Stegostoma tigrinum: one gene and its partner. The protein of the gene in region 2 interacts with the protein of the main gene of each other region in a biochemical or structural test. Links are inferred from orthologs where the notes say so. Each region holds a gene or a part of one and is shown on either strand. Other genes may lie near its edges.

Region 1 (7,028 bases), on a different chromosome or scaffold from region 2:
CATGCTCCTGCCCTGCCTCAAAAGACAGGAACTAACATAACTTGTGCATATCCTGTTACCTCACATAACAACTGTTCTTAGGATCTAACAGCTTTACCTGATGTTCGGTTGCTTTCTAATTAATTAAAGGACCTTCCTTTTCCTGGTGACCTGCTCTGTTTAACCTGCCTACAATAATAATTTTATGATTCACAAGGATTCAACTCGCCATGAATCACATAAATTTATAAAATGATGCAAAAGCAATAAGTTGTATGTGAAAAGAATTAGCCATGCTGACTGCTCTGCATGGAACACAAAATTCCTTAATAGTCTACAAATGCCAAGTACTATCACATGAATGCTTAGCCCATTCTTATTACATTTCCCTGTCACTCTTTCATGGGAACTCGACGGGCTAATTCCAAAATTCTGAATCCTTCAATCTGCCTGGAACACATCCACCCAGTTTTAACAGAGATGGGTTAGGAAGCGGCCAGCATTTCCATATGTTAATGAAGCTGCACTCTATAGAAAAATTGAGCAGCTGAAAGATGGCAAAAATGTTGGATCCAATATTAAGGTGCCTTTCCCACAGAGGTGTAGAGGAAGATTGGACTTTCTCTGAAATATAACCATGTTATTGTAGAACTGAGGTTTGTACACGGGAGGTGCAGTAATAATCTCCAAGATTACCAGGCCAAATTCTAATTTAAGGGGTTTAGTTTCAGCAATGTTCCAGAGGTTATACAAACAGCATTGAAGTTGTCTATGAGTCACTCCTTTGCCCATTATATTTAGTTATAATTTAAATGGTGGGGTTGGAAGGGATGATTGTATATCATTTTTAATCTCTTTAGGGGAGGGTTGCATACCAGTGATAGAAGTTATGTTGTGCATCCTTCGTGAACCTAGGACAGTGCCTTCGCTGAAGGATTAGCAATGTTGCCAGATTTTAGTACATGTCTGGCGTTAAATAGAAATAAGTTTCTCTTGCTGGAAAATTGCTCGTGTTTTGATCCTCTTTCATAACTTGTACCAAGAAGCAGCAGCATTTTACATCCCAAACATTGCTCACCGTCCATTTTATTTGTTGCTGGAATTTGGGAGTCACTGGCTGGCCAACATTTATTGCCCGACTGTGGCTTGACTTGGGAAGGTTTTGGTGAGCTGTCTTCTTGAACTGCTACAATCTTTTTTGGTCTGGGTCCATAACTGAATGCTCATACTTTCTTGTGTATTATGGTTATGCTAACAATGATGTTGAGGGCTACAAAATTAAAGCAAATAGATGGAGAGATGGAAAGAGGATCTAATTAATGGTGGAACAAGCTTCTAGGGATGAATGACCTACTTCTGTTCCTTTTGTTTTAAATGTTCTATCACCTTGATAAGGAAGCCTTTGGTTAATGAAGATTGTCAATAAAAGCCCATTTCCTAAGACTACAATCTGAAGCTACACTTACGAAATTGAGCCAATTAACAGCAGTGATTCTCACTCTTTTTGTACCTCAGTGGAAACTCTTCATCTCTTGTTTCTGCCTCTGTGTAGCTGCGATCACTTGTCACAGACTCTTAATTGCTTGAACTCAGAAATGGCCACAGCCTGCTCATAAACTAAAACTATTGAGTGCCCATTTTGATTTGGCAGTAAGTATGTTATCTGCAAAACTCTACTCTTTATTTCATATTTAATTTGCCCAACTTCCTCCCTCCTGTCTTAAAAGATTAAGCAGCTCAGCCGCAACATCATTTTACATTGATATAGTTTCATTAACAGAATAAAACATCTCCAGGCTACTTCACTAAAGCATCATCAAACAGCACTGAGGGTATGTTGCTTAGCCTTTGACGCTTCATCAAGCAGCCTTCCTTCGTTTATGGAGTCTATACAGTAAATCTCAATAGAACACACCACCTCAGCTATCTGATTCTATCAGTCTCATACACGTACATACAGAGACCTTATAGGACCAAACGCAGAGACACACTCACATAGACAAACTCACATGCACACACACTATCCAGTAAAGTCAGAGAGAGTAGACAGAGATCAGAAGCAGAAATCTTCATAGTATCTCATCACAACGTAGGGGTGTTTATCGAACACAACTTTAACAGCAAACTAAGTTACGTTAGTTGAGGTGTGTAGATCTTAAGGGTTAAAAATAAAGTTTTCACAGTTAGTGTGGGTCTCACTTCTGCAACCACCAACTAATCCAGCCAAGCACATAAATAACTATAATCCCTGACTCTCTTCTTGGTTCTAGTTAGGTTTCGGCCTTGGCTTAGTTGATGCAATGCTCATATCTGAATCAGAAAGATGCAAGCTCAAGTTCCGCTTGGGCGCAATAATCGAGGTTAGTACTCAAGAGCAGTACTGTAGGAGTGCTGCATGGTCAGAGATGCTGCCTTTTGAATTTGATATTAACCATAGTTCCCTTTCAGGCAGACATAAGAGATCCAAGGGCAATATTTCAAAGAACAACAAGGGAGTTAATCCTGATGCACCAGTCATTATTTATTCTTGTTAATATGAAATTCATATAATCTGGTCATTATCACATTTCTGTTTGTGGAGTTTGCTGTGTGCAAATGAGTTATGCTCACAGCATAAGTTGGGACTACACTGTAGAATTGCTTCACTGGTTGCCAAGTATTTTGAAACATCCTGTAGATATGAAAGTTGCTACGTAAATGCAAGTCTTTTTTTGCCCTTTGTCTCTTTGTAAACTGGAAGCAATCGGACAACAGAAGACACTGGAGATTGCTTCGGATTGGCAAATATCAATTGTCGCATGTTTCAACATTTTGCAGGGCTTTACTGAGAAATACACATGTAAATAATTAATCAGCACCAGAATGGCTCCATAACAACTCCCACATTCTCAACTCCCATTCACAGGCAATAACTTAACAGAAACGTATCTTACTGACTTACTTTAATATGAGCCACTGAGTCTGGGACAGTCTGAATCATGTCCTTCAGCTGAGGTGCAGAATACAACGACAGTGCAAGCCTCACAATTCCTGTGTACAAGGGGAAAGAAGGATTAGATCAACAGGGATTTGAATTGCTCTACACGTGTAGCCAGGTAAACTAACAATACAATACAACAACAAATTCAAACTGTGCCAGCCAATTGAGTGACCAGATTTAAAGAAGACAAATTTAACTGCGGAAACATACATTTGAAATGGCCAGAAGCAGATGATGTCAGTTCCAGACTAACCTCAGCACACTGAGCTTTCCAAAATCATAAATAGCTCAATGACATCAGATGTTTTGAATAATGGAATCATTTTTGGTTAAAGAACTTGTCCTGGGATTTCTCTTTAATTCTACATAAGCAATGCCATGCGTATGAAAACCCACAGACATTCTGGAATTCTGCAAATAAAATAGGGCATTGAAAAATAAGTCAGACCTGAGTTTGTCTCTTCTAGAAGCATAATCATCATGGAAAATGATTGCATTGTCGGGGCCAATCCAATTAAAGTTGAATCCCTATTTAGTGCTCACAGATCAGGCTTGATATTGTTTTAGGTGCATCTACAATGCAAGCCTGTCAATCCTCAAAGACCTTTGTGGTTAGTTTCTCGTGAGAATTCAATGTTATCAATGATTTAGGAGTAACTTGTTTGAAAAGTTATGGAATAAAGAGATCAGAGAAATAAACAATGCATAAAATGAAGCCATTCTTCACCCAGAGTCACGGAGTCATACAGGACAGAAACAGACCCTTTGGTCCAATTTGTCTGCACCAACCAGATATCCTAAATTAATCTAGGCTCATTTGCCAGCATTTGACTCATGTTCCTCTAAACCCTTCCTATTCATATACCCACCCAGATGCCTTTTAAATGTTGTAATTGTACCAGCTCTATCACTACCTCTGGAAGTTTGTTCCATACATGTACCACCCTCTGTGTGAAGAAGTTGCCCCTCAGGTCCTTTTCAAACCTTTCCCCTCTCACCTTAAATCTATGCCATCTAGTTTTGGACTCCCCTACCCTCAGATAGAGACCTTGGCTATTCGCCTATCCGTGTCCCACATGATTTTGTAAACTTCTATAAGTTTACCTCCAACACTCCAGGGAAAATAACCCCAGACTATTCAGCCTTGCGCAGTGATGAGCCTGTGGAATTCTTTGGCAAAGAAGGCAGTTGAGACCATAATATAGATGTTTCCAAGAAGGAGGCCAAAATAGGTTTTAGGGTTAAAGGGATCAAAGTGTAAAAAGGAAAAAGTGGGAACAGGATATTGATTTGGATGTTCAGCCATGATAATACTGAATGGGGGCAGGCTCAAAAGTCCAAAAGGCCTAATTCTGCTCCTGTTTTCCATGCTTATTCAGCATTCTAAAGGCAGCCGTGACAATCAGTCATGATTAATGTGTCTTCATTCCAGTCACTTGCTTTAGTTCTATATTCCTTAATTTGAATAAAACACTGAAGCATACATTATCCTTTCCTGTGTACATTAAAGATCCTTTGGCATTATTCTAAGTGCAACAGGATAACTCTTCCGCTATATTGAACTTATATAGGATTGGAGTGAGACATCAAATGGAGTATTGGGTGTAGTTCAGGGCACTGCATTTCAGGAATGAGACAAGTGAGGACAGAGTATGGAAACAATTACGAGAATGATTCCAGGAATGAGAAATTTCAGCCTTGAGGATAGATTGGAGAGAGTGGGTCTATGTTTACTCAGCTAGCAGAAGGCTTAAAGGATAGCTGATAGAAGTTTCCAAAATGATGTGGGGTCTGGGCAGAATACATCAGGAGAAACCATTCCTGCTTATAAGGAGATCAAGACCAGAATGACAGATTCAAAAGGTTGTGCAAAAGAAATACTTGCACTAGTTTTAAGTGTGGTGGACATATGTCCAGCTGAGGCATTTAGGAGGTACTAGGTGATTACTTAAATGCAAACATTGTGCAGGATGACAGGGAAAGGGCAGAAAATTAGCACTAAACCAAAATGCTCAGACAGCCAGTGCAGACACAAAGAGTTGAATGTGTTCTGCACTATAAAAATTCTAGATTCTATCCTGATCAATAATCATCCCTTGTTCAATATCCCTGTTGTATGATCGTGCTGATTGTGAGTCCCGGCTGTTTCTACATTTCAACAATAACAACACTTTAAAAATACTGCAAAGGCTGCCAAGCGTTTTGAGATATCCTGAGGTTGGAAAAAGCACCACAACAATGCGAGGTTGTTTCTCAATATCTCAAAAAAAAATCTCAGGCCATTCAAAATGGAGGCTACAGTTCAGGTCAAAGCAGCTTCGTATTAGAAGCCTGATGAAAATATTTGTGCATCTTTGCTCATCCTCCTCCAAGTTCTCCGTCCAATCTGGGAGGATGGACAGGATGATCCAGCTAATGAGGGGTCTCAATTTGAAGAGATGCCACCAAGGCTCACAACGGCACTTGTGAGTCATTTCCAAACCAGTTGGAAGGATACACGAGTTATAGAATGGCATAAGAAGTACAGCAGTAGAAATAGTGAGCAGTAAATGTGCTAGGATGTAGGTGAATCCAAACTCTGCTTAGCTGGATACAAATATTGAGCCTCAGAGGATGTGCACTAATGTAACTCATGCAACGTGGTGGAAAATGCATGTGCTTCTGTCAGCATTTCCAGAGACAGTCCATGCCCTTGCACAGAACACAGAGGAGTGAGGAGTCCTCTTCTAGCTTTGTGTCTGTGTTGTCCAAGCTATTCCCACCAATCATCACCTCCACTGAAAGAGTAGCCATTCTCACTAGGCCATCAAGTTCATGCTGATCCACCTCAATGGCCTGCAAAATTTGGCTGCCAGTTTCCATCTTGGCAGCTGAACTTCACACTGTGCTCTTCTGCTTTTGGTCAGCAGGGAAATGCAGGCAGGTCCTCAGAGGGAAGAAAGGGAAAAGACTGATGGAAACTCGTGCTTTTCAAAAAACTGTTTCAGCTCTCAATACTTGTGCCCCTCCCCCGCCTCAAACATTGTCCCAAAGGCTGCCACCTGCCCATAGAGGATAGAGCCTGCCCCTGCAGACACTGGCTTGGGGCAGTCTTTGACAGGGACCCTCACAGTGTCAAATGCCCAGAAAATATCTGACAAAGAAGTCATCCTGGGTCTGTGGAAAACCTGTGGGGTAAGCATGAATGACAGGCCTATAGGTTTGACTGGCCTCAACCAGATCAAAGCTGAGAAAGTTGAGGCCTTTATAAACAAGACTTGAGTGACATGGAAGATGTCAACTACTGCTGGGGCTCTGACAACCTGACGAAGCTGTTTCTAATACTCAGAGACCCAAGCAGCTTCAGTATGCCTTTTAGGCCTATGGAGCTAAGGTGGGCAGATGAAGTTAATGTACAACCAAACATGATCTAATTGAATAGCAGAATAGCCACAATGAGGTGTGAACTTACTTCTGTTCTTATGCACCATTACATAATGTAAAGTAAAGCATTTTGGAATTGCTGAGTTTATAACAGATATTATATAACAACAAGAGATAGTAGGAACTGCCAGTGCTGGAGTCCGAGATAACAAGGTAGCGAGCTGGATGAACACAGCAGGCCAGGCAGCATCAAAGCAGCAGGAAAGCTGGTATTTTGTGTCTGGACCCTTCTGGATCAGCTTTCCTGCTCCTCTGATGCTGCCTGGCCTGCTGCGTTCATCCAGCTCTACATCTTGTTATATAACAACAAGTCTTTTCTCCTTCATAACATCCTCATTTCATAGAAACAAGCCACATAACTAAGCCTAGTTTTGTGACAGTACTGGTTTTACTTAAAGTGTTAGCAGTACGAACAAGCCAACAGTTAAAATTACAAAAACAATGTGCCATTCATCTTCTTTTGCCTATTAAGTTCTGATTGGTTGATAAAGACATTATCAACTGCACATAATAAGGGTGTTGTGACTTATTTGAAGTTTGTAGAAAAAATATAATTGGTATCTGATTTAATGTAGACATTTTTTTGTGGACCAGCATTCTGTTTACTGCATCATTAAAGCAGAAAAAAATACCTTCATCGGCGAAA
Region 2 (7,580 bases):
CTTCCTCATCCCAATCTTAAATTGGCACCCCTTTATTCTGAGAATGTGCCCTCTGGGCTTAGACTCTGCCACGATGGTAAACATCCTCTCAACACTGGATTCTCAAGGGGCTTGACACTGTCAATGTGTTTAGCGAGGGAGGATCAGGACCTGAAGGATGTTCTGTCTCACACACAGTGGGAAACACGTGGCAACATGAGTGAACAGCAGAGTAAAAACTCAACATTCGTTTCAGAAAAGTTTGCATCCTACGTGGGGCAGGAGGCTGTCTCTGCAGGAATGCACAATGACAAGGGGCTCAATATCCTTAATGACCGACACTGTTCCACTTTGATGCCTCTCAGCACAATATAAAACAGTTACACCACAGAAAGAGGCCATTCAGCCTACGCATTCTGTACAAGAAGAACTCAAGGTGGTAATCCAATCCGCAGTTCTTTCGGTTTTCACTCATTTCAGACTCGTTCCCAATTTTTACCAACTCTCTCAAATCCCCCTGTCGATCTTTTCTCTGACCCATTGACATAACTCATCTCGTGAATCTTTACTGCATCCTCTCAAACAGCTCTGCCTGAAGTGTGGTGCCCAGAACTGCACACTATACTCGCAGCGAGGTCAAACCGACCTTCCAGAAGGGCCCGTCACACATTTCTTGACTTTGTACACAATGCGTCTGCAACAGAATCCCTCGTGCCTTCTTAATGCCACATTTTCAACTTGCTATGCCACTTTCAAGGGTCACAGAGATCCACAGCACAGAAAGGGGCTCTTCAGCTCATCCCACTGCCTATAGGTTCTGTAAACACATGCAGGTATCCCCTGGCCTCTGTGTTCCTGCACCCGACTCCCACTACCCAATTAGAATCACATTCTTTCTATTATTTTGCCAGCCTTCATTCTTACTTCCAAACAATAGGTTTTGCTGAGACTTCCTGCTCTCCTTGTTCTGGTTTCACCACTCCAGCCTCCTCCCTCCAGTCTTCATCCGCATGTTAATGACTGCATTGTTCTCTGTTTGCTGCTTACACCCCTGCACTGGAAAATATCATCAACTTCTAAACCACCCCCTCAACTTCAACATGGTTCATCTTCAACACTTCCCTTCCCCTGTGTCTCTATTTCTGAGACTGATTGCTGACTAACATTCATTGTAAGACCACTAACTCCCACACTGACCTGGTTATACTCCCCTCCACTGCAAAGACTGCATTCTCACAGACTGTTTGTCTGTGAGAGCGAGCCCGAGTTTCCCTCCCACCTGCCCGCCCCTCCCTCCCAAATGACCAACCCCCATCCCAAATCCTTACGTACACTGGCTCCATCCCCACTTCCTTGACCTGTCTGTCTCCTCTCCACCTATCTGCTCCTCTATCCACCTTCCATCATCACTTCCTCCTCCCGCTATTTATTTCAGAGTCCCCTCCCCCTCCCCCATTTCTGAAAAAGATGCAGCTTGGCCTGCTGTTTTCATCCAGCTCCACACTGTTATCTCAGATTCTCCAGCATCTGCAGTTCCCATTATCTCTCTCTCCACACCCTAATCGTCAGCTTTCCTGCTTCTCTGATGCTGCCTGTCCTGCTGTGTTCATACAGCTCCACACCTTGTTATCTCAGACTCCAGCATCAGCAGTTCGTACTATCCCAGAGATTCCTGTGGCTATTTTAGTTCTCCACCTTACTCTCAAACTGACATCCCTGCCCTGCTGCCAGCCAATGTTCCACTCTGCAAATTGGCACATTACAGTCTTCCACATTCAACATGGATTTCAACAATCCTGGAATGTAAATCCTGTCTCTCTCTCCCCGCTGTTTTCTTTCCAGGCATCAGCCTTGCTCCGCACTCCACTCGATTTGATTCCTGAAGACAACTGTCCATGATTCTCTTTACTGTCCCATTATCACCCTCTTCGGCTCTGAGCAACTGAAAGATGGGTCACTTAGTGTTTCCTGTCTTACGTCCCATGACATTCCACCCAGCCCCTCATTTAAAACTTGCTTCTTGTGTCCTAGCTCTGATCAAACACTTAACTGTGACGTTAAACACCACACACACACACACACACACACACACACCAACTGAGTAGCTTCTCTCTCCACAGATGCTTCCAGACCTGCTGAGCACGTCTTGATTCCACTTCTCAGACCTTCCACTGTTTTTTTTGGCTTACAACAGCATGCTTGTGGTCCTCTGCAATATTCCCAACCCCCCCTTCCACTTGCATTGTCTGAGCCACAAGACCCAGCTGATCCAGTTAGTTATGTGGGTCAAACAGCATTTCTGAAGATTTAAAATTCCCCTCGGATTCTGACCGTGCCTTTTGCTGTGAAAGAATCTGTCTCAAAAGTGTATATATATATAAAAAAAAACGAAACGCAGGATTTCACCAGAGGACGACCACTCTGAGCTCAGTCTACAAGGTGGGCATGCGTCTGCAGATAATCACTGGGATTTTTAGCAATGCATTTGGGGGAAGAAAAAAAAAGAGGTTTTCGCAATTAATATTTAATCAACGGGGGAGGGGGGGGGTCACTTTGAAAATGGGGCTTCTGAAGAGGATGGAAGTTGCAATGATTTTCAATGAATGTTGCAGGCCTGGCTTACAGCGTGAGTCATCAGCAAAACACAGCAGCTCAGAAAGGTCAAAGAGGTGGCGGATACAAAACCCAGAATCACCAGAAACGGAATAAAAAATAATGCATTTTGAAAAGGAGCAGGATGCATGCCCACAAAAAACCTGCGGCCGCCCCGGTCTACAACACGAGGCCTGCACGCTGAAGGGGGGGGGGCGGGGGGAACATCCCCGCTGCCAGTCAGCAGCCCGGGGCCAAACTCTCGCCGGTCCCGACCAGCGATCGCTCACCTGCACCATGATGGCCAGCCGCAGCGAGTCCTTGGCGATACTTTCGCCGCATTTCTTGCACGACGCCCGCCCGCTCTTCGCATACTCCGCCTTGAAGAGCTTCTCGTCGGCCATGGCGACGCAGCAGCTGCACGGCCCCGCCTGCAGGAGGCAGCAGCGGGCACCCCACTCCCAGCGAGCGCGGGAAAGGGGCGGGGCCCTGCGGGGGCGGGACTGACACGGGAGGGGCGGGGATACGGGGGAAGGGGTACGTGGGCACAATGTGATTGACAGGGCACGGGGGCACAGTGTGATTGACAGGGGCACGTGGGCACAGGGTGATTGACAGGGCCACGTGGGCACAGTGTGATTGACAGGGACACGTGGGCACAGTGTGATTGACAGGGCACGGGGGCACAGTGTGATTGACAGGGACACGGGGGCACAGTGTGATTGACAGGGACACGGGGTGATTGACAGGGGCATGTGGGCACAGTGTGATTGACAGGGCACGGGGGCACAGTGTGATTGACAGGGACACGGGGGCACAGTGTGATTGACAGGGCACGGGGTGATTGACAGGGGCATGTGGGCACAGTGTGATTGACAGGGCACGGGGGCACAGTGTGATTGACAGGGACACGGGGGCACAGTGTGATTGACAGGGGCACGTGGGCACAGGGTGATTGACAGGGCACAGGGTGATTGACAGGGCACAGTGTGATTGACAGGGCACGGGGCACAGGGTGATTGACAGGGGCACGGGGGCACAGTGTGATTGACAGGGCACGGGGCACAGGGTGATTGACAGGGCCACATGGGCACAGTGTGATTGACAGGGGCACGTGGGCACAGGGTGATTGACAGGGCACAGGGTGATTGACAGGGCCACGTGGGCACAGTGTGATTGACAGGGACACAGGGGCACAGTGTGATTGACAGGGCATGGGGCACAGGGTGATTGACAGGGCCACGTGGGCACAGTGTGATTGACAGGGGCACGTGGGCACAGGGTGATTGACAGGGGCACAGGGGTGCAGTGTGATTGACAGGGACACGGGGGCACAGTGTGATTGACAGGGCACGTGGGCACAGTGTGATTGTTATGGGCACAGGGTGATTGTCAGGAGCACATGGGCACAGTGTGATTGACAGGGCACATAATGACTGACAGACACATGGGCACATAATGATTGACGTGGGCACAGTGTGATTGACAGGGACACGTGGGCACAGTATCATTGACAGGGACACGGGGGCACAGTGTGATTGTTAGGGGCACATGGGCACAGTGTGATTGACAGTGGCACGTGGGCACAGTGTGATTGACAGGGACATGTGGGCACAGTATGATTGACAGGGACACGGGGGCACAGTGTGATTGTTAGGGGCACATGGGCACAGTGTGATTGACAGTGGCACGTGGGCACAGTGTGATTGACAGGGACATGTGGGCACAGTGTGATTGACAGGGACACGGGAGCGCAGTGTGATTGACAGGGACACGGGGGCACGGTGTGATTGACAGGGGCACGTGGGCACAGTGTGATTGACGGGGCACGGGGGCACAGTGTGATTCTCAGGGACACGTGGGCACAGTGTGATTGACAGGGGCATGTGGGCACAGTGTGATTGACAGGGCACGTGGGCACAGTGTGATTGACAGGGCACGGGGGCACAGTGTGATTGACAGGGGCATGTGGGCACAGTGTGATTGACAGGGCACGGGGCACAGGGTGATTGACAGGGATACGTGGGCACAGGGTGATTAACAGGGCACGGGGCACAGGGTGATTGACAGGGCCACGTGGGCACAGGGTGATTGACAGGGGCATGTGGGCACAGGGTGATTGACAGGGCCACGTGGGCACAGGGTGATTGACAGGAGCATGTGGGCACAGGGTGATTGATAGGGCACATGGGCACAGTGTGATTGACTGGGGCACAGTGTGATTGACAGGGGCACGTGGGCACAGTGTGATTGACAGGGACACGGGGGCACAGTGTGATTGACAGGGCACGGGGCACAGGGTGATTGACAGGGCCACGTGGGCACAGTGTGATTGACAGGGGCACGTGGGTGCAGTGTGATTGACAGGGGCACGTGGGCACAGTGTGATTGACGGGCATGGGGGCACAGGGTGATTGACAGGGATACGTGGGCACAGTGTGATTGACAGGGACATGTGGGCACAGGGTGATTGACAGGGGCATGTGGGCACAGGGTGATTGACAGTGATACGTGGGCACAGTGTGATTGACAGGGACACGGGGGCACAGTGTGATTGACAGGGCACGGGGGCACAGTGTGATTCTCAGGGGCACGTGGGCACTGTGTGATTGACAGGGCACGTGGGCATAGGGTGATTGTCAGGGGCACGTGGGCATGGTGTGATTGTTATGGGCACAGGGTGATTGTCAGGAGCACATGGGCACAGTGTGATTGACAGGGCACATAATGACTGACAGACACATGGGCACATAATGATTGACGTGGGCACAGTGTGATTGACAGGGACACGGGGGCACAGTGTGATTGTTAGGGGCACATGGGCACAGTGTGATTGACAGTGGCACGTGGGCACAGTGTGATTGACAGGGACATGTGGGCACTGTGTGATTCTCAGGGGCACGTGGGCACAGTGTGATTGACAGGGGCACGGGGGCGCAGTGTGATTGACAGGGACACGGGGGCACGGTGTGATTGACAGGGCACGGGGCACAGTGTGATTGACGGGGCATGGGGGCACAGTGTGATTGTCAGGGGCACGTGGGCACAGTGTGATTGTTATGGGCACATGGGCACAGTGTGATTGACAGGGCACATAATGACTGACAGAGATACATGGGCACATAATGATTGACGTGGCCACAGTGTGATTGACAGGGACACGTGGGCACAGTGTGATTGACAGGGGCACGTGGGCACAGTGTGATTGTTAGGGGCACATGGGCACAGTGTGATTGACAGGGACACATGGGCACAGTGTGATTGTTATGGGCACATGGGCACAGTGTGATTGACAGGGGCACATGGGCACAGTGTGATTGACAGTGACACATGGGCACAGTGTGATTGACAGGGGCACATGGGCATGCTGTGATTGACAGGGACATGTGGGCATGCTGTGATTGACAGGGACACGTGGGCACGGTGTGATTGTCAGTGGCACGTGGGCACAGTGTGATTGACAGGGGCACGGGGGTACAGTGTGATTCTCAGGGGCACGTGGGCACGGTGTGATTGGCAGGGCACATGGGCACTGTGTGATTGACATGGCACGAGGGCACAGTGTGATTGTTATGGGCACAGGGTGATTGTCAGGGGCACATGGGCACAGTGTGATTGACAGGGACACGTGGGCACATAATGACTGACAGAGACACTTGGGCACATAATGATTGATGTGGGCACAGTGTGATTGACAGGGACACGTGGGCACAGTGTGATTGTCAGGGGCACATGGGCACAGTGTGATTGACAGGGACACGTGGGCACAGTGTGATTGACAGGGACATATGGGCACAGTGTGATTGACAGGGGCACGTGGGTACAGGGTGATTGACAGGGACACGTGGGCACAGTGTGATTGACGGGGCGCATGGGCACAGTGTGATTGACAGGGGCACGTGGGCACAGTGTGATTGACAGGGGCACGTGGGCACGGTGTGATTGACAGTGACACATGGGCACAGTGTGATTGACAGGGACATGTGGGCACAGTGTGATTGACAGGGACATGTGGGCACAGTGTGATTTACGGGGCACATGGGCACAGTGTGATTGACAGGGGCATGTGGGCACAGTGTGATTGACAGGGGCACGGGGGCACGGTGTGATTGACAGTGACACATGGGCACGGTGTGATTGACAGGGACACATGGGCACAGTGTGATTGTCAGGGGCACATGGGCACAGTGTGATTGACAGGGACACGTGGGCATAGTGTGTTTGTCAGGGGTACATGGGCACAGTGTGATTGTCAGGGGCACATGGGCACAGTGCGATTGACAGGGGCACGTGGGCACTGTGTGATTGTCAGGGGTACATGGGCACAGTGTGATTGTCAGGGGCACATGGGCACAGTGTGATTGACGGGGCACGTGGGCACAGTGCGATTGACAGGGCCACATGGGCACAGTGTGATTGATGGGGCATGTGGGCACAGTGTGATTGACAGGGCACGTGGGCACGGTGTGATTGACAGAGGCTCGTGGGCAGTGTGATTGATAGGGATACGTGGGCACAGTGTGATTGTCAGGGGCACATGGGCACTCTTCTCGAAATGCCCACCTTCAAGAAATTGTCCTCCTCCCTCCGGAAAGATCTCAGTGGACCTCCCTCCCACTGCAACCCTCTGGGCACTCAGTTATCGCCATCCCACCTACCTTTCCCAGCCCCACCCCTCCTATCTTTATTTATTTCAGAGCCCCCTCCCCCGCCCCCATGTCTGAAGAAGAGTCCTGACCAAAACGTCAGCCTTCCTGCTCCTCTGATGCTGCCTGGCCTGCTGTGTTCCTCCAGGTGCACAATGTGTTGTCTCTGTACCCGGCATCTGCAGTTCTTGTTATCTCTGAATCAGACCAAGTTGGGGTGGTCAAACATGGACCAAGCGGTCTATATCCATGCTGCACTTCTCTATGACACTAAGAAGATAATTTGCAGAGTGACAAATAGAGATAGAGTAACAAACTGCTCAGAAATTTTTTTTTACTTTTTCACTCACTGACCGGAGAGGG

Evidence for each region. The genes of interacting proteins can lie anywhere in the genome.
Region 1: the proteins of parp1 (region 2) and erg form a complex in vitro, tested with the Homo sapiens proteins (2 studies listed by BioGRID and IntAct). The link is inferred for Stegostoma tigrinum from reciprocal best matches to the Homo sapiens genes PARP1 and ERG.

The regions. Positions count from the first base shown.
Region 1 is NC_081365.1:18,303,008-18,310,035, forward strand, and holds the start of erg (transcriptional regulator ERG), read right to left. Parts: upstream 3,010-7,028; 5' UTR 2,960-3,009; coding exon of another isoform or gene 2,921-2,959; intron 1-2,920. UniProt on the Homo sapiens protein: Transcriptional regulator. May participate in transcriptional regulation through the recruitment of SETDB1 histone methyltransferase and subsequent modification of local chromatin structure.
Region 2 is NC_081357.1:10,326,870-10,334,449, reverse strand, and holds the start of parp1 (poly [ADP-ribose] polymerase 1), read right to left. Parts: upstream 3,008-7,580; 5' UTR 2,976-3,007; coding exon 2,862-2,975; intron 1-2,861. UniProt on the Homo sapiens protein: Poly-ADP-ribosyltransferase that mediates poly-ADP-ribosylation of proteins and plays a key role in DNA repair.